Saccharomyces cerevisiae S288C: one gene and its partners. The gene in region 4 interacts genetically with the main gene of each other region. Each region holds a gene or a part of one and is shown on either strand. Other genes may lie near its edges. The genes, in order: BZZ1, ARC40, SHE4 and MYO5.

What was found.
Region 1: mutations in MYO5 (region 4) and BZZ1 together harm fitness more than expected from each alone (negative genetic interaction), as found in Saccharomyces cerevisiae (4 studies listed by BioGRID, with this or other methods).
Region 2: mutations in MYO5 (region 4) and ARC40 are lethal when combined (synthetic lethality), as found in Saccharomyces cerevisiae (3 studies listed by BioGRID, with this or other methods).
Region 3: mutations in MYO5 (region 4) and SHE4 together harm fitness more than expected from each alone (negative genetic interaction), as found in Saccharomyces cerevisiae (3 studies listed by BioGRID, with this or other methods).

What each region holds. Positions count from the first base shown.
Region 1 is NC_001140.6:334,790-340,484, reverse strand, and holds BZZ1 (Bzz1p), read right to left. Parts: upstream 2,403-5,695; coding exon 501-2,402; downstream 1-500. Other genes in the region: ubiquitin-conjugating protein DMA1, read left to right, coding at 1-376; APE4 (aspartyl aminopeptidase), read right to left, coding at 2,676-4,148; YHR112C (putative cystathionine beta-lyase), read left to right, coding at 4,822-5,695. UniProt on the Saccharomyces cerevisiae protein: Plays a role in endocytosis and trafficking to the vacuole. Functions with type I myosins to restore polarity of the actin cytoskeleton after NaCl stress.
Region 2 is NC_001134.8:684,910-690,222, forward strand, and holds ARC40 (Arc40p), read right to left. Parts: upstream 1,684-5,313; coding exon 529-1,683; downstream 1-528. Other genes in the region: DAD3 (Dad3p), read left to right, coding at 68-352; VHC1 (Vhc1p), read left to right, coding at 1,992-5,313. UniProt on the Saccharomyces cerevisiae protein: Functions as a component of the Arp2/3 complex which is involved in regulation of actin polymerization and together with an activating nucleation-promoting factor (NPF) mediates the formation of branched actin networks.
Region 3 is NC_001147.6:395,797-402,346, forward strand, and holds SHE4 (She4p), read right to left. Parts: upstream 4,309-6,550; coding exon 1,939-4,308; downstream 1-1,938. Other genes in the region: putative palmitoyltransferase AKR2, read right to left, coding at 1-1,290; YOR034C-A (uncharacterized protein), read right to left, coding at 1,630-1,872; SNAP receptor PEP12, read left to right, coding at 4,552-5,418; CYC2 (oxidoreductase), read left to right, coding at 5,759-6,550. UniProt on the Saccharomyces cerevisiae protein: Required for mother cell-specific ho expression. Might be required for the transport of factors (such as ASH1) that promote HO repression from the mother cell into its bud.
Region 4 is NC_001145.3:484,985-492,494, reverse strand, and holds MYO5 (myosin 5), read right to left. Parts: upstream 5,909-7,510; coding exon 2,249-5,908; downstream 1-2,248. Other genes in the region: EUC1 (Euc1p), read left to right, coding at 1-91; HFD1 (hexadecenal dehydrogenase), read left to right, coding at 503-2,101; ILV2 (acetolactate synthase catalytic subunit), read right to left, coding at 6,348-7,510. UniProt on the Saccharomyces cerevisiae protein: One of two redundant type-I myosins implicated in the organization of the actin cytoskeleton. Required for proper actin cytoskeleton polarization and for the internalization step in endocytosis.

The DNA of each region.
Region 1 (5,695 bases), on a different chromosome or scaffold from region 4:
ATTGAACAAGTCTTGGAAATTAAAGGCCAATGCATTTAATAAAGAAGCCTTGAGCCGAATAAAAAATCTACAGAAACTAACTACTGGTTTAGAACAAGAAGACTGTTCCATTTGTCTAAACAAAATAAAACCTTGCCAAGCCATTTTTATATCACCATGTGCCCATAGTTGGCATTTTCATTGTGTAAGAAGATTGGTTATTATGAATTATCCTCAATTCATGTGTCCGAACTGTAGGACAAACTGTGATTTGGAGACTACCTTGGAATCCGAATCTGAATCCGAATTCGAAAACGAGGACGAAGATGAGCCAGACATTGAAATGGATATAGACATGGAAATAAATAACAATTTAGGTGTTCGCCTAGTAGATTGATCACATGAAATTTTGTGCTATATATATATATATATATATATATATATATAACATAGAGTCGTCATACCTCTCAAAAAAGTGGCGGCCAGGGAAAATATTTAATAGTTTCAGTTCATTCCTTCGTTCATTTACAGTAACTTGTAGGAAATAGACCTTTCAATCCGTCACATTCACCATATGTCCACCCGCTACCGTCATCGCCTCTGATAACAGTAATTATGTCCCCCGGATCAATTGAAATCTCATCATCTCCCTGTGCTTCGTAGGCATATATGGCCTCCATCGTCCTAACAGGTAGTGTACTCCTTCTTGGTGGTGGTACTTCTGGTGCAGGGCCTCTATCATTTGCTTTAACTGTAGCCGCGCTAGATATGCGAATATATGTGGTGGGTACAAGGCCGGTTTCCCCAGTGGTGTCGTTATTTATCTTAGTCCATCCAGAACCCGTATCGCGTGCAACCAAAGAGATTTTGTCTCCTGGCGTAATGGTGATTTCGTCATCATCCTTTTGTACGTATGCATACAACACTTTATTCTTGCCGTCATCACTGGAATTTTGTGTGGTCTTTTTTGTATTGTTGGTACTAGTGGTGCGTATAGAATTATTATCTGAATCTTCACCAGCGTTGTTAGGGGCAGAGCCTAGCCTAGTTCTTCTTGATGTGTTGAAGAGACTTGTTATATGCAAGGGTCCTCCGTTGCCATTACCAGTGCTCCCTCCACTCGAAGGCTTCGAGTCGACGTTCAGGATGTTGTGTTTGAACTTACTGAATATCCCGGATTTCTTCTTTGTTTTGGAAAGATCAATATTGTCTGTGGATAAATCGTATTCTTCAGGAACATTATTCTGAATACTTTCGATTTGAACTTCGGCTTGCAATTTTAATGTTTCGTGTGAGGTAAAGGGTGAAACGACATTTAAGTATTCCTTTAGTGTATCATAAAACTTAGTGGCATTGATATTATCTTCATTAGTTTTCATTTCGTGCTTTATCTTGTTCAAAGTAGACAGTTTGGATAACTCATTTTGAGTTTTATCTTGCAATGAATTGTAATCATTTTCTGCTTTTGCCAGTTTTATTCTCAAGTCTTCAACTTCCAACGACGAGGGAACAGCAAATTTTTCATCATCATGCCATACTGGAGATGGCTTATAGACAAAGTCTTGTGGTTCTTTCCAATTCTTTAGATTGTGCTTGATAAAGATGGCCGTGTTTAAAGAGGGTTTATTCTGCTTGACAACAGAATTTGCCGCCTGGAGTCTTTTGCTGACATTTGCACCCAGATCGTTCTCGACAGAAGCCGCCTTCAACCACAGATCATTTAAGAAAAGGGTCTTTGCCTCATTTACGTCTTGTAGAAGATCTAGCACTTCAGGAACATCTTGAAAATAGTATTTATCCTTAGTTCTATTTGCCTGGTTGATCTTGATTAAATATTCATTTTTACACTTGTTCATCTCCATTTCTTTTTCATCCAACTTCTTTTTATTTCTATCATTAGATGCCTTGGTATACCTATTTCTTGCCATTTCCATAGTGGAACAGGCTTCATCATAGTCCTTCTTCGCTTTTTCCAGTTCGTGGTAAATGTTATCCTTTTTATTAACCATGTCATTGTTAAATCCATTTATCTTGCTCAAAGTCATATCAAGTTTAGTGAATAATCCACTCAATTGATTTGCTACATGATTTTCAAAGTCGGTTGATAACTGATCATGATCCTTGGAAATCATATCAGTCTGAGATAGAATTTCATTCCATGCAACCACACCTGCAGCTTCAATGGACCCTGGCGTGGTAGTAGGTGTGTCACCTACCGAGATAGGAACTGAGGTCGAAGACTTCTTATTAAAGTACTCTGCTGATAAGCGAGATAATCTCTCGCTGTAGTCTTTTTCTAACTTAGCCCTTTCCCGATAAAATTGCTCAATGTCCTTCAACCATTTTAAGTTATTTTGGACCCATTTATGGGTTTCCTTAAATGAATCTTTAATTTCATTACCAATCGATAAATCTGCACTCATTTTTATTGCAAGTAATGTAGTAGTTGGCGTTTAAGGATAGATTTCCGCTCATACAAAATTGATCAATCTGCTACCTTCTTCAAAAACTATTTGCGTACAAACTAAATCTGTCTATTCCTTTGCTAAGCGTATATTCTTTTAAAAACTTTTTATTTTTCTGAAGACCCCGCGAAAGCTTATGTAGATCACAAGATATTATATATATTTACTATTTGTAAAATACAAAAGAGGGCAATAAATATACCGGATTATGAATCATCTAACAATTGCAGTTTAGACAACAATTTCAGATTCTATGGAAGTGTAGCGTTCAAAAAATTCCTTAAATAACTTGATTTGGAACTCCAGGTCTGCAGAGCCACCGGTCTCTCTAATCGAATGCATACTCAACACAGGATTACCCAAGTCTAGAGTTCTAATACCTGTCTTTGAGGCCAAAATGGGGCCGATGGTAGAACCGCATGGTGAGTCGTTAGCTACGACAAACAATTGCAAAGGGACTTTAGCAGCCTCTGCTAGTCTTTTCACCAAGACCAACCCTGGTGAATTGGTCATGTAACGTTGATTCGCGTTAATCTTGATTACGGGACCACCACCCAATAAGGGTTTGTGTTGGCTTTCGTATTTGTTTGCATAGTTTGGATGAACTGCATGAGCAACATCAGATGAAAGGAAAAACGACTTAGCGGAAGTTTCCAATATTGCCGAGTGAAACAAAGGTTTAGTTTGATCAGAACCGTCCCCCTTCAGGATGGACAACCTTTCCAATATATTAGGCAAGAAGTTAGAATCTGCCCCTTGGGCGGAGGATGAGCCAATCTCCTCATGATCAAAGCATGCCATCAATCTAATGCCTGATTCTCGGTCAATTTCTGTGTCAGCCGCCAACGTTAAACCGTGCATTGATGTGAAACAAGATGTCAAATTATCCAATCGACCAGAGAAGACAAACTCATCGTTGAACCCACCTAGAGTGGATGCATTATGATCATAAAGGATCAATTCGAAGTCTTCAATGTCTTCAATTGTATCAATGGCGAGTTCTTTGGCTATTAGCCCCAAAAGTTCTGCGTGATGCCTCTGTACTATCGTTTTTATGGAGGTAAACTCACCGTTATTAATTTCCTTTTCAGTTTTCGCTTCAGTTTTGTCTTCTTGCAGACCACCAATCGGCAACAGTTGAGTTTCTCTATTAAACTCGAATTTTTGATTTACGTCTCTGTCCAGATGAATAGCCAAAGTAGGAATCTTTAACAGAGGTCTATTCAAATCCACCAATCTAGCAATGGATTTGCCAGTTTTCGCATCCTTTACGAAAACTCTTCCGGCAACGCCCAAATCCTTATCAAACCATGAATGCCAAATAGCGCCACCATAAGTTTCCACGCCCACTTGTAAATACTTCTCACTGACTCTTTTAGAAATAGGCTTAATCCTTAATGCGGGGGAGTCGGTGTGAGCACCCGTAATGGCAATTGGATTACCAGGCTCCCACTTTCCACCAACAGCAAACGCAATAATGGAAGAGCCATTTCTTGTCACAAAGTACTTTCCTTTTTGTGCGACGTGGCCAGCCCACGAGTCACGTTCGCTCAACTCTTTGAAGCCATTTGACACCAGATGCTTTTTGATGTTATGAACTGTATGGTAAGGAGAGTGTGAGCTATTTAAGAAACTGACAAACTCCTTTGGGTAATCACTCTTGCATGTTTTGCTGGACATAGTTCTCAGTTGTATCCTGAACATAGAAAAGCTGAACCTTTTATTCTTTCTTTTTACCTACTTGCTCACATAACATGAATTTTTTCTTTCATTCATACAGGAGGAAAACGCCCTTTTTTCTTTCATTTAAGAGCGTGGAGATATCTGCAACTTTTCAGCAAGTATGATAAGGCTAAAATGATAAGGAATAGAAAACCGTAGCCAGAAACTAGTATCTCGAAAGCCAAGGCAGGCTTCTGTTGCAAAAATAAGCAGACCTTAAACTAAAGGAGTTTACTCCTTGGCGGAACACTGAATCACATTATATACGTAAGTTGAACGGGACTATTTATCACGTGTGATTATGTGGTCTCCATGTCAGTCGCAATATTTACAGTATATATAAGGGAAAGAGGGCCAGTTGTAATAATTGTAGTACGTGAAATAACTGTTTCTGAAGTCCTTCACATACGCTTTGGTACGGGATTAACCACTTACTGATAGACCTCAAGGATATCTTGTGAGTTCTTGTCAAATGGTGAAACTGTGGTTTCTATTTTTTTGCGGTGTTTAATTCAGAGTGCGATCACTTGATGGGTTTATGCAACACGCGATATATAAGCATATTGCGCAACAATAGATCGTTGCAATCCCTCCATCTCTTCAAATGTTGTAGTACATGCTATAAAGGAAAGATTGCACGAAAAGAGTACGTAAGATGGTGGACTTGTCAACAGCTTTGATTCATGGCGATGATAAAGATAACAGGGTTACTGACGTGGCGCCCCCAATTAATGTCTCTACAACCTTCCGTTACGACGATGACGACCTAATTCCATGGACAGAGCGTGAAAACTTGGACTTTATGGAGAAGAAGCCCGTATATTCACGGCTAGCGCATCCAAATAGCACCAGATTAGAGAGTATCTTCTCAGAGATCCTCGATGGTTATGCTGTCATTTATTCTTCAGGGTTAGCTGCGTTCTATGCGGCAATGGTACATTACAACCCTAAGAAGATCTTTATCGGACAGAGCTACCATGGTGTTCGAGCAATTGCTAACATATTGACCCGTAATTACGGCATTGAGCAACACCCCTTGGAAGATATTGAAAAATGTGCTTCTGAAGGTGACATTGTCCATCTGGAATCTCCTGTAAACCCATATGGTACCTCTTCTGATATCGAGAGTTTGGCCCGCAGAGCTCATGCAAAAGGCGCCCTGCTTATAGTGGATTCCACATTCGCATCTCCTCCATTGCAATACGCATGGAATTTCGGAGCCGATATTGTCCTATACTCTGCTACTAAGTACTTTGGTGGTCATTCTGACTTGTTAAGTGGCGTCCTTGTAGTCAAAGAGGAAGCAACTTCCCGACAACTAAAAGACGACAGAATCTACTTGGGTACAAACGTGGCAAATTTGGAAAGTTTCATGTTGTTGCGATCCCTGAGAACCTACGAAATGAGAATAACCAAACAATCAGAAAATGCTACGAAATTAGTTAGATTTTTGTCAGATCACCAATCTGAATTTGACAAAGTATTGAAGACGATTTACCACTCTTCTTTACAAACAGAAGAGTTCGTTA
Region 2 (5,313 bases), on a different chromosome or scaffold from region 4:
ACAAAAGAAGAGCTTACAGTAGCCAGTCAAAGTCGCTGTGAAACATACACGGCGTTGTAGTCACAGTATGGAACACAATCTTTCACCTTTACAGCAAGAAGTATTGGACAAATACAAACAGCTTTCTTTAGATCTAAAAGCTCTGGATGAAACTATAAAAGAACTAAACTATTCGCAACACAGGCAACAGCATTCACAGCAAGAAACTGTATCGCCAGATGAGATACTACAGGAGATGAGGGACATAGAGGTCAAAATTGGTTTAGTTGGGACACTGCTAAAAGGTAGCGTGTACTCGCTTATCTTGCAAAGAAAGCAAGAACAGGAGTCTTTGGGTAGCAATTCTAAATAATGGTTTGGTGCAAGAAATTGATTCTGATGCTTTATTTTTTACGGTACACTACATTGTGCTGTGAGTTGTAATAATATAGTCTGTATATGCCAAGTGAAGAAAAAAACAATACAAACTCAAGGTGTATTATGAGGTAGGGAATACACATAACAATATATATATATACGTATGTATATTTAAATTGTATAAATGACGATCTTACCGTCTAACCCACAGGAAGAGACTTGTGTGATTTGGCCGTTGGATTCCGCAAAAGGTCTTAATTCCACAATGGCGTTTTCATGTGCACTTTCTTGGACATCTGTGCTAACTTTACCTTTCAAGTCTAATTCTTTAAACTTTCTCAATGCGGAAATACCGAAAGTTGAACTTTCATCATTATTACCACTCAGCTCGTCTGTATTACCAGATGCAGTTAAGGCAGAAGACTTGTTATTGTCTGATTTGTCTAGATTCTTCGCAAATTTCCAGCCTTCAGAGGCTTCGCTGAACAATACCGGATGACAAGAGTATCCTCCACAAACAATCTCGTGGTCGTTTATCCATACTAAGGACCTGTAAGGTAAACCTTCCGGAGCATTGACAGATTGCACTGGAGATTGGTAATCGACAACATTCAAAGTACCATCATGCGCTACATAAGCAATTCTTTCCATCTGACTTCTCCATTCCACATCATGGATATAAGAACCCTGATACCACTCCCTGATTAAACAACCAAAAGGGAATTTCTGGCCCCAGGGTGATCCGGCGACGGATTCCTTGGAATCCAAACCCTTGATAAACCCGCTGAACACACGCATAAACCCATCAGTACCACCAGCAGCTAATAGGACTCCATTTGCATGCCAAGACAGGCAATTGATGGTAGATTTGATGGGTTTCTTGATGTGCTTGGATACCCACCAATTATTCTCGTGTTCGTAATAACAAACAGCGATGATTCTAGCACTGGACCCAACAGCAAACTTATAACCATTTGGTGCCCATGTAACTGAAGTAGCTGCTCTGTTAATACGAAGAAGTACTAACGTGGGCTTGTATGTCCCATCACTCAATGGCTCCCAAACGTAAGCATTACGGTCTTGGGAGCAAGTCACAATACGACCATGTATGGAAATGTCCACAGCAGTAATGGTTTTATCATGATCTTTCAACGTTGCGAATAAAACGGGAGGTGTGTTGTTTGAAACTCTATAGACAAGACAATCTGTTTCGCATGTAACGGCTAAAATAGATTTATCTTGAGAAAAGCAATGAGAGTAGATTGGCGCTTTGACCAGCTTGTAGACGGCAACAACGGACTTGTCTTTAGAATTGGAAAATGACATTAGGAGACTCTCAACTAATATACGTTTACTTCGGCTTATTTTTCCTATTTTTCTTTGTTTCTAATCTGGAAGCTTTCTCGATCAAGATTGCTCTTATTTGACCCTTTTTCATTATAGGCAAGGCGCGGGCGGGTGACAAGAAGATTTTGATAATTGTGCAACTGATAACGTAGGATTCATTATCAACATTGTTGTTAAAGAGTAACAAGGAAATCTAAGAAATGGTTGTGCTTGTTGTCGAAGAAGTGATAGAGACAGTGTTTTTGCCAGCCAATTCTCTTTAAGAATAGGCCTTTCTTGTAGGATTAATGGTTAGTAGGTTTTATCAGATTCCAGGTACGCATCGGCCATCGTCGGCAATATCTTCTTCAAATGAATCTTCTTCACTGTTGTCTGCAAGGAGAATAAGTCAAACATATTTCAATTATCAGGCGACCCCTGAATGCCAAAAAGTTTCCTCTAAGTATGATCCTGATAACCCAAACAAAGATAAGTTGGGAACATACGATGGGGTATTTGTGCCTACTGCTTTAAACGTATTGTCTATCCTTATGTTTCTTCGTTTTGGCTTCATTTTGGGTCAGTTAGGTATTATATGCACCATCGGTCTTCTGCTATTGAGTTACACTATTAATCTTCTCACCACGTTAAGTATATCTGCTATATCTACAAACGGGACTGTTAGGGGCGGGGGTGCTTATTATATGATTTCAAGAAGTTTAGGACCTGAATTTGGTGGATCCATTGGGCTTGTCTTTTTCTTAGGGCAGGTGTTCAATGCAGGTATGAACGCAGTGGGTATTATCGAACCTTTACTCTATAACTTGGGTTATTCTGCTCAAGGCGAGCCACCTGCAGCTTTGGGAGAGCTACTACCAAGAGGGCATTGGCACGAATTTACATATGCCACGGTCATTCTTTTCTTATGTTTTTCTGTGGCTTTTGTTGGCTCGCAAACAGTGTCAAGAGCAGGGAATATTCTTTTTTTGGTACTGGCAGCTTCTATATTTTCCATTCCACTTTCTGCATTGATAAGATCGCCATTCACTGAAGGCGGTATCAGTTATACAGGTCCTTCATGGCAAACTTTTCATGATAACCTGCTCCCTCACTTAACAAAAGGTGCAGCAGGTTCGTTACTCAAAGGTAAGGAAACATTCAATGATTTATTTGGCGTTTTTTTTCCTGCTACAGCTGGTATATTCGCGGGCGCAGGAATGTCAAGTGAATTGAGAAAGCCCTCTAAATCAATTCCTAAGGGTACCTTATGGGGTTTACTTTTCACTTTTATCTGTTATGCCGTTGTTGTCTTCTCCATGGGTTGTTCCATTCCCAGAAGATCGTTATATGATGAAGTACAAATTATACAGACGATCAGTTCCGTTCAGTGGGTTATATTCATGGGTGAAATGGCTACTTCTCTTTTCTCCATCATAGTGGGGATGCTCGGTGCTGCTTATGTATTAGAAGCAATTGCAAAGGATAACATTATTCCTGGTTTGGAGATTTTTGCTCATTCACCGTTATATTCATTGATTTTTACTTGGATTCTAACACAGCTATGTTTGTTTTCAGACGTCAATAAAATCGCCACATTTATCACAATGACATTCTTAATGACGTTTGTGGTCATGAATTTGGCGTGCTTCCTATTAGGTATTTCCTCTGCTCCCAATTTCAGGCCCTCTTTCAAATACTTTAACAGGTATACTACAGCAATTGGCGCATTACTTTCTGTTGTTGCGATGTTAATAGTTGATGGCATCTCAGCGTCTGTCTTGTTTTTGGCTATGATTTTGCTATTTTTATTCATTCATTATTTTTCACCACCGAAGTCTTGGGGTGATGTGTCTCAAAGTTTAATATATCATCAAGTGAGAAAGTATTTGCTTCGCCTACGTCAAGACAATATTAAATACTGGAGGCCTCAAATATTGCTGTTTGTAGATAATCCAAGGACGAGCTGGAACTTAATAAGGTTTTGCAATCATTTGAAAAAAGGTGGTTTGTATATTTTAGGCCATGTTGCAGTAACTGCGGATTTTCCGAAGCAACTAAATGAATTAAAAACTCAGCAGAAAGCTTGGATGAAGATCAGAGACATGGCAGCAATAAAGGCTTTTGTCCAAGTTGGGACTGGTCCCTCCCTTATATGGGGAATTAGGAATGTTTTTATTGGTTCCGGGCTTGGAGGTATGAAACCAAACATTACTGTTGTCGGTTTTTTTGACCTCGAAAGTTATAGAAAGCACATCCCACAAAGTCGCAGCCAAAATAACCTTCAGAAACAGGTGGAAATAAAAGCTACAGTGCCACGTAGTACATGCTCTGATGTCAAAATCAATGTTCCATTGCCTACGGATGAGTGTAAAAATGAAACCAAAGTTAATGTACAACAATGGGTTCAAATTGTAGAAGATCTATCACTGATGCAATCCAATATTGCCATAGCGCATGGATTCAAAAATTTAGAGATACCGAACAAAAGGGACAGCTGCTTTCCAAAAAAAACTATAGATCTTTATCCCATCCAAATGTGCGGAAAAGTTGAGGCAAAGGGTGACCAGCCTGCGGCTATCACTACTAACTTTGATACGTATACACTGATTCTACAATTAGCTGCCATTTTGGTTACTGTTCCTGAATGGAAGCGCACACATTCGCTTCGAGTTATTTTATTTGTGGAACAAGAATATCATAGAACGAACGAAACTCAACGAATGAAAAAGCTATTACAGGTTCTAAGAATTGACGCAGAGGTTTTGGTAGTATCTTTAGATCAATTCAGAGTATACAACACAATTGTCAAGGGAGACCCAATCGTGTTTGATTATGTCAACTCGAAATTGGCCGATAATGAATGGTGGAAAGATTTGGTTGAAGCTCGTGATACATTAAAACCGAAGCGGAGGTTTTCCACTATTGAACCTCAAACGATAGCAAAGCAATTTACACAATCAAGAAAATATACGTCTGGGGTTCAGAAATTGGGTGTCTCATTTACAATGAATACGAGAATGCCAACTAACCGCATTGATACCCCATGCGAGAGTGAGGACTCCGATTTGGATACAGATCTTACGTCAATTCGTGATGCCTTCTCGGCATCGACTAATATTTCAGTAGGTAAGGACTTAACGACCAAATCGAAGACCGGTTCCGACAGAACAAATTTACTCGTAAAGAATTTACAAAGCGATGTGTCAACACAGTCGTTAAGACCCGTTTTCTCGAGTAATACTTTGCCGAGGACGAGAGTCGTGGAAGATGGCACGGGTGAACAGCCGACACTGATCCCAATTGCCGAACCTGACCTTTCGAATGGGAACGGTACTGGGAGCGGTATTGGCAACGGCAACAAATTAAAGAAACCGGTTCTTCCCGAATTATCACCTTGTTGTTCAAAAGATAGTTTAGTCACAGCGATGCAAAATTTAGGTTTCAATGATCTTCCCAGCACTGCTCAACATTTGGTTCTGAATGATGTGATGACACAAATGTCAAAGAGTTCGGATTTAATTTTTTCAACCTTGCCAGTTCCAGCTCTTGGAACACATGAAGATCACGATGCAAGTTTACAATATGTCGAGGACTTGGATATTTGGTTGGAGGGCTTACCTCCATGCATGT
Region 3 (6,550 bases), on a different chromosome or scaffold from region 4:
TTGTATCGAAGTCAAACTATCATCCGTTTTCAGACAACCAGGATCTGACCGTACTAATCTCAGAAATAGTACAACTGTGAGAAAGGAAGTAACCAAAAACTGGACGTTTTTCATGGTATAGTCAGATACACTATATGGATAGAGTTTCTTCGTCCATATATATATTAAAAAACAGAAAGTGGACAGAAAGAGGCCACTGAAAAAGGGAGTTCTAGTCAAAGAAACTTTGTAAGTGTTTTTTCTGGGAAGGCATGGTAATACAAACTTCTTTAATGTGTTGACCATGACAACAGTGACCAGTAGGGAAAGCATAATGGCTAGCACTGGAGAAAGAACGAGAGAAATTAAGTATATGTAAACCATGAGTAAAAATGGTGACAAAAAAATTGTGAATTGTGCATGCGAGCTTTTCTTGAACAGTTTGTCTTTCTGATTTCCAAGCCTGTCATATCCATGATGTTGCAACGCTTGTTCAAAAAGTGATTTGGTTCCCATTCCTTCGGCTAGATCAAAACAGTCTTGCTTCTGGTTATTCCTTTCGTAGAAATTTGCACCGCTAAGTATTAAGTCACATATGACCCTTTGATCACCTCCAACTAGAGCACAATGGAGAGCATTGAACCCTCTGTTGTCCGTCCATGCAACTGTGGAGCCAAATTTCAATAAAAGTTCTACAGTGAGAAAATCTCCTTGATAAGCAGCCCAAAGTAGGGGTGTTCTGTTATTGTTATCTTTTGAATCGATATCGACGTTGTCATTGTTGTTTACGACAAAATAAAGAACATAAACAACAAGTAAAATGTTAGAACTGTAAACGCTAAAATGCATGATGTTAAGACCCTGCTCATCTTTGAGCGTCGGATCAGCGCCATGTTTGAGAAGCAGGTCAACAATGTAGATATTACCGTACCTTGCGGCCCAGTGCAAAGCAGTAGCCCCTCCGGGGCCTGCCGCCTGGTTAGGATTTGCTCCCCTAAGTAATAGGAACTTTGCTACAGAAAACCTATTGTTTATACAGGCCCAGTGTAAGCCGGATAATTCATCAATGCGGTCGTTATTAATATCCACTGCTCCACTTTCGACCACGTCCTTCACCACTTTTAAATCCCCATCCTTAGCGGCTTCAATGAAAATATCAACCACATATTCAGTGTTGGATCCATCGCCTAGAAGTTGCGCTTTGTTATTGTCCGAATCACTTACAGCGTGTTGAGCCACATCAGTGACAACAGCTGCCCCATTAGAAGTTTTTTTCACGTTCTCATCATCAATAATTGACATACTGGTCATAAGAAACAGTAGAGTATTTCACAGGTAATTAAGATGTTTATCTGACCGATGAACTTTACAACTTGCTAGTAAAAAGTTGGTGGAGTTCAGTTATTATTAAATGAAAAATGCAAAGTTTTGACGCTTTCTAATTGTAAACGACAAAGTGAATGATAAAAAGATCGCTGAACGAAAGATGATTCCAAATACTCAAAAATAGCAGCCATACAAACTGGAACTACTAAATTCAACTAAGATTAAGCGATTAAGAAGTCAGGCTCGTTTAACAACAAGCTTGGTACATCCCAGGCTGCACGAAGTCGTAACTTAAAAAAAAATAAAGAAGCGAAAAAGAGAAGATCATTTCCTTTGGCATCTATTGTTTGCGAAGCCATCGGACCGAGGCACCTTTGAAAAAAAAAAAAAGGAGCACTTTCTTCCTTTTTCTCTCACCCAGATTCTTTTAGAACACGTAGGGTACCAGACATAATTTAGAGTAGTGTGATACTTCTGGTGTAAAAATAGAACAAAATATATAAAGGGCACCACTACCAGAGGATATTCTCTGGCTACGAAAATCTTACATAGTTCTTGTGTGTTCATTATCAGGGTGCTGTTGTATTTCTTAGTGAAAATTAAGAAGAGTTAAACATGGCGATTCTTTCCATATTAGACTTTAATTTTAGCAAGGATAACGGGAATTGCCGCTGAAAACTCTGGTCCTGAATCGCCTCTCTTTAAAGACATATTTAAAGCATCCTTTAATTTTTGATTTTCTTGCAGCAACGGATACACCTCGTTAGTGCCATTATCCGGTATCACTTCGAATAATCCAAAAAAAAGCATAAGTAACCTTTGTCTTAACTCAATGTCATCAATTTGATCCGCAAATACCTGAATAGCATTTTCGATTAGTTCTTTCTTGGTTAACAGTTCCTTAGCTATCAATGGAATCGTGGTGGCAATGTTAGCAAAGATAGCAGCCACTGCTCGTTGAGACTCAACGTCGGATAACTGAAGAAGTTTCACCAATATATTAAAATTTCTCAAACTCTGAGGATTTTCCAAGTTAAAGAACTTAGCAGCAATCGTTAATGGATGACTCATCATATTACTTATGAGCTCTAATGTTGATCTTTGCAAAGGAACGTTTTCGTCTAGCATCAGATTCTCAATCGTGGACCAATATACTTTTGTAGATACGATATGCTTGCAAACTTCTTCACCATCAGAGGTCTCCGATGATGCCAAGTTCGTCAGAGCTAATAGTGCCTCGTAATTGTCTGTCAGCTTTATTTGTTCGTCGTTATGTAACGGATTGTCATCCACTGGCGTAGACCTTGGCAACAATTCGAACAAGAAGGGGATAGCGTTTAATGCAGAGTATTTTTTAAATATCAAACCCGGATTAGTGAATATTAGCATTCTTGTTAATGCCCGACACCCTAGAATCCGTATTGGCTCCCCTATGTCCTGCTTATTGGCCAAATATTCTAAGATGATAGTTGTACCACCTTGTGAAATGCATTGAGGAATGAAGTTTTTCGAGCGGGTTATGTTATATATAACCCTAACCACTTGTTGTTTACAATTGGGGCTCAAATTGTGCATTTCCCTCTTCAAAAAGGAAATCAGCTCGGTCCTTAATATGTACTTTTCGTTAAACAAAAGAATATCTTCCTTTGATTCTTTCTCTGCGCCTACCTTGTCTGCGCCTGGGCCCTTCAAATCTGCGTAATTTTTTAAGTCATTGATAGACTGTGAACTACCATTGGATTCCTCTGGTAAAGTGGACAAATTTGCCATGATAACTAAGAGACCATATAAACAGTGCGTCATTTTCTGGCTTTTAATCATAGTTAATAGAATTTCAGTAAAGCTCTCGTTACTCCTAATCATAATCTTAACCGAGGCCTTTAGACTTAAATATGCCAGCGCTTCAACGGACATTTCAACTTTAGGAACCTCCTCGAGCTTAACCGCACTTTCATTGACATTTTCAATTTTTGGCATGATACGTCTTGAAATAGCGTTTATAAAGATTTCGGACAGTTGCTTCAAGTTTATACACGTTAATTTTGTGAAAGACCATGTCTTAACTAACACCAATGCAGAATATATTTGTACATCTTCCACGTTTAGTGATCTTTCCAATAGTTGAAGGTAATTTTCTGTAATATACGTTCTCATGGTCTCATCAATACACGCGGAAGATAATAACCGCAGCAGTTCTTTTGTAAACTGTAAATCCTGCTCTTCGAATACTCTCTTCTTAAAAAGCTTACTTAGTCCTTTGGTCAAAAATATTTCAGAACAAAGTGTTGTCAATGAAGGATATAATTCTGATAGGGTTTTGACTATGATGGACAATGGATCATTTCCAACGTCTATTTCTGCCTCCACAATTAAGCTACTCATGAAATCGACCACTGCTTTATCAAAGTCTTTTTGGAAGCTTGATTGTAATTCAGCAAAAATTATAAGCATCATCGATTTTACTTCATCTTCGCTTATGCGCAAAATAAGTTCCTTCACTAAAAATCGCACCTCCTTGAAATTGTACTTGAACTTATTCAATAGTTGTAGAATTATGCTCAGTAAATACGTGACGTGGGTGTCCTCGCCATAGTGTATCCTAATTTGCAGCTCATTTAACAATGCAATTGTTGCGTCTTTATTGGAAAAGCAACCAACGAAAACGTGGATGGATGATCTTGATAATATTTCAAATAAATTGAGTGCGAAGGGAATATCATTCTGTATAAGTTTAGATAAATGTACGCGGGACTCAGAATGGTCTTGGTAAGACCTGGTCAATATTTCTTCGATTTTCTGACGATCTTTAAGGGCTTCACTATTCGTTAAATCAGCCGGCATTTTCCCAGATTCAGATTTTTGCCTTAGCTGGAAAATTGTATTTATAGCATCATTGTATTTTTGGACATCAGGGGTGGATTTCAAAGTCTTGTCAAATGCAGCGCAGAGGCTATCAATAGTAGAGCTATCGATTGGATCATTCCCTTTCTCACACAGTGGCATCGTGATTCTAATTTTTTAGTAATCTTTTCATGTGAGTAGTTTAGATAAAACGTCTTCACTATTAAGTAGAAGATTCGTAATTGGATTTAAGCCTTCGTGCCTTATCGCGGCTGATAATCATCATGATCGACGATGAACTACTGCGCCAGAGTATAATCCCCTATAAAACAGGCCTGCTATCACTCCAAAGAGAATGCTTTTATAGAAGAATATAACGTAAATTACTACAATAATTGTGTTGAGATGTCGGAAGACGAATTTTTTGGTGGTGATAATGAAGCCGTTTGGAACGGTTCCAGATTCAGTGATTCACCTGAGTTCCAAACGTTGAAAGAAGAGGTTGCTGCAGAGTTATTTGAAATAAATGGGCAAATAAGCACGCTGCAGCAGTTTACCGCGACACTTAAGTCATTTATAGATCGGGGAGATGTTAGTGCGAAAGTTGTGGAAAGAATTAATAAGAGATCTGTGGCAAAGATAGAAGAAATAGGCGGGCTCATTAAAAAGGTCAATACATCAGTGAAAAAGATGGATGCGATTGAGGAAGCTAGCCTGGATAAGACTCAAATAATAGCGAGAGAGAAACTTGTGAGGGATGTCAGTTACTCTTTTCAAGAGTTTCAAGGTATTCAGCGGCAGTTTACCCAAGTAATGAAACAAGTTAATGAAAGAGCAAAAGAATCTCTTGAAGCAAGTGAGATGGCAAATGATGCTGCTTTATTAGATGAAGAACAAAGGCAGAATAGCTCAAAAAGTACTCGAATACCAGGCAGCCAAATAGTCATTGAGAGAGACCCGATAAATAACGAAGAGTTTGCTTATCAGCAAAATCTTATCGAGCAAAGAGACCAGGAAATCAGCAATATTGAAAGAGGTATAACGGAACTGAACGAAGTTTTTAAAGATTTGGGAAGTGTTGTTCAACAGCAGGGTGTGCTAGTTGACAATATTGAAGCAAATATTTATACAACGTCAGATAACACTCAATTGGCTTCAGACGAGCTAAGGAAGGCCATGCGGTACCAAAAACGTACGAGCAGATGGAGGGTGTATTTGTTGATTGTGCTTCTCGTAATGCTTCTTTTTATTTTTCTCATTATGAAATTGTAAACCAAACCAACACACGTCGTCAAATATCATATACATAATATATACACTTAAAACAGATTCGTGTTAATGAACTTGTTTTGCACTTTCACTGTACAATGCATGGGCTCTCTCATAATATTTCTACGCCGTCGCATCTTAACCAGCCGCAAAGAGAGAGTATATTCCATAATTCAGTTTTTCGCCTTTCCTTGCCCTTCTGAAATGTTGTTAATATCATCATACCCTAATGAAGAGTGAAAATTCACTTAACCCAAGTGAAAAATACAACTTCGAAGAGTGCAACGTGTTGAAAGAACCCTTCAAAAATAGAAAAGAGGAAACGAAAAAAAGAAAAAGTAGCATGCTGTGGAAAAATTATGTTCTATCCAGTTCCCGAATAACACGTAGGCTTCATAAGTCACCTAGAAAGAGCAGCTTCTCTAAGAACTTTTTTATCACAGGCTGCCTACTGACAGTTGGAGCAGTAAGCAGTTATTTAACCTACAGGTACACAAGTGAGAGGGAAAACAAACATGAGTTATCTCCATCTTATTTTGTCAAGTACAAGATTTCACACAAGCGAGATATTGATTCATCACATTTTTTATTGGAAGTAACTCCGTTGTTTAAGCAGAAAGTTAACATATGGTCATTGATGACTGCGGAAAATCTGTGGTCCGTCGAGATCAAACAACCGGAAGTCATGGTGGTCCGCAATTATACGCCTCTACCGCTTAAATTTAACCCAGCTTCAAAAGAGATTGAAATCTTAAAAGATGGTGACAATGCAGATGGAAAATTATCTTTCTATATTAAGAAGTATGAGAATGGAGAAGTTGCAAGATGGTTACACCATCTTCCCAAGGGACATATAATTGAAATAAGAGGCCCGTTTATCGATTATGAGTTTCCTCATTTGCCTAATGAGCTAAAAAGATCTCGCGATTGTTTATACATGGATAATCGCAATGAAAGGGGCAATAACGTTAGAGAAAATTCCCAATTTATTTACCAGCCTTATGACATAATGATGTTCACCGCTGGTACCGGAATAGTTACTGCGTTGCAACTACTTTTGACTGAATCACCATTTAGAGGTACTATAAAGTTATTTCATACGGATAAGAACATTAAACAACTGGGACCCTTGTAT
Region 4 (7,510 bases):
AGAAGAGAGAGAAGCTAGATTATCATTACAGCAGCCACATAGTATACCAAATTCCAGTACAGGCACACCAGAACATGATCAAGACACTTAGAGGAAATGGAACAACGAATTTCCAGCCAAAAATTCCGAGTAGTTCATGATGAAAGATTTTTACATGCATTTTATATATAAATATATACCGTCCTATATGGATTTCATGCCAACAGGGTATATAATAGACAATTACCGGTGTACTGATATATCAACTATCGACTCCAAGCCTTTTATCTATCAGTCAATTTTACATCAAGATCCCACTTTTAGATAGGTTCGAAAATTCAATCTAATATTAGTGATTTAATTAGATGGTGGATTGCTTACCCTTTTTTTTGTCGTTTTAGGAGGAGATTCTTCGGATTTTAGGGATAAACGGATACTCCATATATAAAAAACAAAACTTCAGGCATATTGATTATCTAAAAGGAATATTCTAAAACCATAGCCATAGTAATTTATCACCAACATGTCAAACGACGGCTCAAAAATATTGAATTATACCCCAGTGTCTAAAATAGATGAAATAGTTGAAATCTCAAGAAATTTCTTCTTTGAGAAACAATTGAAATTGTCCCACGAAAATAACCCAAGGAAAAAAGATCTAGAATTCAGGCAGTTGCAGTTGAAAAAACTCTATTATGCCGTCAAAGATCATGAGGAAGAACTGATCGATGCTATGTACAAGGACTTTCATCGGAACAAAATTGAATCGGTTCTGAATGAAACGACCAAACTTATGAACGATATACTTCACCTAATTGAGATTTTACCAAAATTGATCAAACCTCGGAGAGTATCTGATTCTTCTCCTCCATTTATGTTTGGTAAAACAATCGTGGAGAAAATATCAAGGGGCAGTGTCTTGATTATTGCTCCTTTCAATTTTCCCCTACTTTTAGCATTTGCCCCATTGGCAGCAGCTCTTGCTGCAGGTAACACCATTGTTCTGAAGCCAAGTGAACTAACACCACACACTGCTGTAGTTATGGAAAATTTGTTAACCACAGCTGGTTTCCCTGATGGATTGATTCAAGTAGTTCAGGGAGCTATAGATGAAACTACAAGACTACTAGATTGTGGAAAATTTGACCTAATATTCTACACAGGTTCTCCCCGTGTCGGATCAATAGTTGCTGAGAAAGCAGCAAAAAGTCTAACACCTTGTGTACTTGAACTTGGTGGTAAATCACCTACCTTTATTACAGAAAATTTCAAAGCAAGTAACATAAAAATTGCTTTGAAAAGGATTTTTTTTGGTGCTTTCGGAAATTCTGGCCAGATTTGTGTTTCACCAGATTATTTGTTAGTACATAAATCTATCTATCCAAAAGTCATTAAAGAGTGTGAATCAGTACTAAATGAATTTTATCCAAGCTTTGATGAACAAACAGATTTCACTCGTATGATTCATGAGCCTGCTTACAAAAAGGCCGTTGCAAGTATAAACTCAACTAACGGCTCCAAGATTGTGCCTTCAAAAATTTCTATCAATTCAGATACTGAGGATCTATGCCTTGTACCACCAACCATAGTTTATAACATTGGTTGGGATGATCCTTTGATGAAACAGGAAAACTTTGCTCCTGTATTGCCCATCATTGAGTACGAGGATCTTGATGAGACCATTAACAAGATAATAGAAGAACATGACACTCCATTGGTGCAATACATATTCTCTGATAGCCAAACTGAAATAAATCGTATCTTGACGCGCTTAAGATCTGGTGACTGTGTTGTCGGTGATACAGTGATTCATGTAGGAATTACCGACGCTCCATTTGGAGGGATCGGTACTTCAGGTTATGGTAACTATGGTGGATATTATGGATTCAATACCTTTAGTCATGAAAGAACAATTTTTAAACAACCATATTGGAATGATTTTACCCTTTTTATGAGATACCCTCCAAATAGCGCACAAAAGGAAAAGCTCGTCCGTTTTGCGATGGAAAGAAAACCTTGGTTTGACAGAAATGGCAATAACAAGTGGGGGTTACGCCAATATTTTTCATTATCTGCCGCCGTTATTTTAATTAGTACCATTTACGCTCATTGTTCTTCCTGAACGTAATGTTTAAGGTTAATTAATTATTTGATGTATAAGTAACCTTTCGTTTAAAAATTTCATATGGGCGATAATATATCAATATTTATTAATTACAATTTACTCTATTTGCTCGTATAGAGTATATACTCGCTAAATACATTTTGATTACCAATCATCTTCCTCTTCATCTTCGTTAGCCTCCTCGTCATCACTCTCTAATCTCATTTTATTGGCCCTAGCAGCAAGCGCATTCGCCAAACCATCACCCAAACTTGCTTGGGCTGCAGCTGGAATAACGTTTGCAGAGGTGTTATCATGTTGTACAGAATTCAGAACGGGTTTAGGAACATCCCTGTTTTGAGGAGGAGTAGGGATATTATTATTTCCGGAATGTGGTTTCATGTAAGCTGTTGGCACCCAACCTTCCTTAGAGCCATCCAGAAGTTTCCCGAGAGACCAACCGCTTGGTTCTTCTCTTGTAATGTAAATTACGTCTCCTTTCTTTAAAGGTAACTCAGATGGTGATCCTGAACCAGGAAAATCGTAAGCCGCTTCAAACATGGGTTCTTTTGGCTTTGAAGAGGGTGGGGGTGGAGGAGGTGGTGGAGGGATATTTGCCTGTCTACCAGAGCCCATTGCGGCAGCAGCGGGTGTAGCAGCGGGTGTAGCACGAGTGGCAGCAGTAGGGGGAGAAGGACGGGCATTACTTTGGGATGCAGTGAGAGTGGAAGCAGGATTAGGAACAGATCTTCTTGTAGCAGCTTTGTTCTGCATTCCTGGTGGTGGAGGGGCAGGCTTTTTAGAATGCCTAGAAGCCGGGGCGGTGGGAACATGCTGGGCTGCAGCAATCGAAACTGGCCTCCTCGTTGCTTGCGAGGAACTAGCATGATATCCTGAAGAGATTGAACTCTTTTTTCTCGGTTTTTTGTGCACTTGAGAATTAGGTGGGTTACCACGACGAACTGATATTGTACTGGATTTATATATGTCGCCATATTTTGGTGCAGATTCATTGATTTGACATTTCACTGAATGCAACTTTCCAGGTTTCTTTTGGTACTCTATCGCCGAGCCTATTTTAATTTGAATTTTGTCGTTAAGCCTTTTCAGATGCGTTATGAGTTCTGTTTTGAAATATGTGTTGATTAAGGGGTCAGGTTGACCTGAGCTAGCCAACTTAATGGCGACCCAATCATCCTGTAAATTGGTTAAACTAACCGCTTGAATGTTTCGCACATCGATTTTATAATCCTGAGTATAGGTCATAGCATTTTGGACCAAAGTCTGACCAACAATGTACAATGTAGTTGGAGTTAATAGGAAAGTTTTTTTCAATCTTTGTGCAGAACGGCCAAATTTTGTATGCAAGGCCTCACCATGTATGGAAAAGATGACCTTCTCTTTAATGCTCACTTGTCTTTTGATATAAGCGCCCTTCGATTTGGACTCGTTGCATGATAGATAATCACCCATGAAGGCTCTGTAACCTAATAAGGACATAGACCTTCTTTCTTTTCTTCCACCCAAAACCTTCGTACCATAATCCCGGAGCTTCTCATACTTATTACCTTCCTTCCTCTCCCTGATGGTGCGCTGGATCTTAGTGGCCGCATCAATTCTTCTTTGCAAAAATCTCCTCCAAGCACGTTGGATTCTGGCAGCCATATTGTGCCAGTATCTATCTCTCATATGCTCCAAAGCAAATAATGTTTCAGGTGTTTTGATGAAAACACTTGTGACACCCAATTGGTACTCCTGCTGTGGGATAGAGGAATCTTGCAATATATACTTAACAGCATCTAAGGTATCACCTTGCCATGTATAGTCACCAGCGTAAGAACAGTGTGGAGATAATAAATAAAATCTTTCCACGAACTTCTCAAACACTTGTCTATATGCAAAACCTGCTCTTCTGATACGCACGTTTTCTTGCAGACCTAGATACTTAATCTGGTGTAGAACTTGCCGATCGTCATAATCGTTAGGAGATTTGGTTTCGTTTGGTTTAATTGTTCTGATATATGAAGGTTGTGCTTTTGATAAAGTTTCAACCAAATCATTTGCACTCTTTATAATTTTGTCGCCTGCTGTAGGTGGCCTTCTTTTTGATTCTCTGTCTACAGTATCCGGGAAAATGGTGGCTAAAAATGTATTGGTAGTGGTACCAATTAATTCTACCAGATCCTTTTGTAATTGATCCTTATTTTTATCTGTAATACCGTCAATATCGTATGTGACATCACCGGCATAATGCTTAATAACAAACTTGTTAGATCTCAAGTCAAAATGTGGATTTGTTGTGAACAAGTTCAAACGCTGAGCAAAAGCCTGATCAGCAGCATTTGAATCCGCGTGTGCAGTTGCAACAGAATCATTCATTGCTGCAAATATACCAGGTGGTCTTCTTGCCTCAATCAAATCACACACAACCTTGTTATCAAAGTATTTAATTGGGGTCCATTGGATTTTTTCTCTCTCGTAAGTTTCTTGCTCAGATTTCAATGTCAATTGAATAAAGATTTGTTGTAACTTTTCATTAACATAATTGATACAAATCTGCTCAAAAGAGTTATGTTCAAAAATTTCAAAGCCGTAAATATCAAGAATACCAATGGATTTTTCAGCGCCTGGAAAAGCCTGCAGAGATTTGTTAACCCTACTCACAATCCAGTCAAATAAGTTATTGTAAATAGCCTTTGCCAAAGCATCTCTAACCGCATCTGCTTGGACAATATTCAATGGAACATGATACACTGACCCTCTTTTCATACCATGATTGGTTTCCATAATTCTTTCCACAAGTGATTTAATCAGCAATTGGCTATCTATTTGTAACAAGTAAGCAACAAAATCGGTTACTGAGGTGTCCCTAACTTGCGCATTCCCCTCCTCATTTTCTATAAAGGAAACATTACCAATCCAAAGAATTGCAGCTAACATCCTGAAAATTTGGTCTTGTTCTTCTTGACCGAGACCAATAACTCTCATAGCTTTTAATGTCTCTTGATAATCTTGCAAATCATCAATTGTCTCAGCAGATATGCAACCCGCAGCAGCTGTGTACACATATTGTTCCGGTTTTTGGACCCCAAATGTTTGCCTATAAGCATCGGAAGCACCTTTCGTGAACTGATAGAATATATGGAAATTTCTTTCATTCTTAATTTGACTCACAACTCTCTGCTTCTCCAATAAATAGTTTGTGATATTACCAGCACATGGTTCAAACTGGTTATTGAATTTTATTTCTAGATATTTCCCATGTCTAGAAGAGTTGTTATTTCTTAGAGTCTTTGCACAGCCAAAAGATTCCAACAATGGATTAGTGGCTAAAACCATGTCTTTAATCTTTCCAATTGACTCCGTATGTGTGCTAGAAGCAGCCGCAATATATTGCATAATTCTTTTAGCTGCTTCAGTTTTACCGGCACCTGATTCACCTGAAATAATAACACACTGATTTTCATTATATGATTTCATGTTGTAGTACATAGACTCTGCAATTGCAAATACATGGGGTGGAACTTCCAATCTATTCTTACCTTTGTATTCATTCATAACAGCATCAGTATAGATTCCGAGGTCTCGGAATGGATTGACACTAATTAACACATGACCTATATAAGTGTAGATTGTAGCATTCAAAAATCTCTTCTTCAAGTTTTCATTTATGGCTTCGTCGGAGATTTTAGAAAGAAGCGTCAGATCAGACACACCAACTTCTTTCTTCTTCGAGGAATCAAAAGTAGCTTTCTTGATATTCGCAGAGCGTTTAGCTGGCTCCTGATGTACCTTTTTTCTAGCTCCTCTTTTTAAGATAGCCATTTCTATAAAGCGGTTAAATTCGTATTGGCCACTGTTCTTATGCTTTATTATAAACTATAACCTTTAAATACATAGTCCAGTTTGTATTTTCCAAGCTTGCAATTTTTGACGGCCCCTTTTCGAGAAATATTTTTGATGATTGACAAAACGAGAAAGAAGTCGTGTCCGACGAGTTAAAACACACCATTTGAATACATATGCTACGTATCCACTTTAGATTTATCAAATACTACCAACTCACTTGAATTGAACTTATTATTCATCTATGACTTAATTTTAGCCGTCATTAGTTTTTTAGAAAAAAATATATAAAGTATATACGAAAAAAATATACATGACTACCGATTTGGTAGAATGTCATATATAAGAAGCACGATTAAATAATAATAAAGTCTGCATTTTTTACTGAAAATGCTTTTGAAATAAATGTTTTTGAAATTCAGTGCTTACCGCCTGTACGCTTATGACGTAATTCAGTCTGTTGTCTTTCAACTTCTGGGTCAAAATTTATGAACTCGTCTAGACCGCTACCACCTGCCACCATTGGCAAAACAGGAACTTTTTTATCAACTTCCACTTCAAGCAAAACTGGGCCCTTGGTAGAAACGAATTCTTTCAACTTAGCGTCCAATTCCTCTTGCTTCTTGACTCTTAAACCTTTTAAACCCATAGCCTCCGCTAGTTTTATGAAATCAGGGTTCAATTGATGTGTGTGGGAATAACGATGTTCGTAGAACAGGGATTGCCATTGAGTAACCATACCTTGCTCTTCATTGTTCAAAATCAAAATCTTCACTGGAGTACCAGCTTGAACGGCAGAACTCAATTCCGTTAGAGTCATGTTAAAGGATGCGTCACCATCAATGTCAATAACCAAAGATTCTGGCTTTGCAACTTGAGCACCGATGGCGGCAGGGAGACCGTAACCCATCGTACCTAAACCACCTGATGTGATGAAAGTATGTGGATTTCTCCATGTCCAGTGTTGAGCAGCCCACATTTGATGTTGCCCCACACCCGTTGTAACAATGACATGTCTTCCTGTGTCGTTGGCAACCTTGGATAGTTTCTTTATAACCGTCTGTGGTTTAATTTTAGATCCTGGAGTCTCCTCCATATAAGCGTATGGGTATTCCTTCTTCCATTTATTTATTTGAGCAAACCATTCAGACCTCTCCTTAACTGGGAAAATCTTTGACATCATTTTGCCCAGATTGGTCGTAGCATCACCTTCCACTGCTATTTGAGTTTGAACAACCTTGTTTATGTTTTTTGGACTAACCTCGAAATGAATAATACCACCTCTACCCTCGGCAGCTGCACGACGAGCTTCTGGAGCGAATTTAGAAATATTACCAGTGACACGGTCGTCGAATCTAGCACCAACTGCAATTATCAAGTCGGCATTTTGCACTGCCAGGTTGGCAGTAGCACAACCGTGCATACCAAGCATATCCAATGATTTTGGATCTTCTTGGTCGAATGAACCTAAACCTTGTAAAGTAGTGGTGACAGGTATTTGAGCACGGTCACTTAATTCTTTTAGTAATCTTGGACCATCTGCATGGTTTAAAATACCAGCACCGACGTATAAGACAGGTT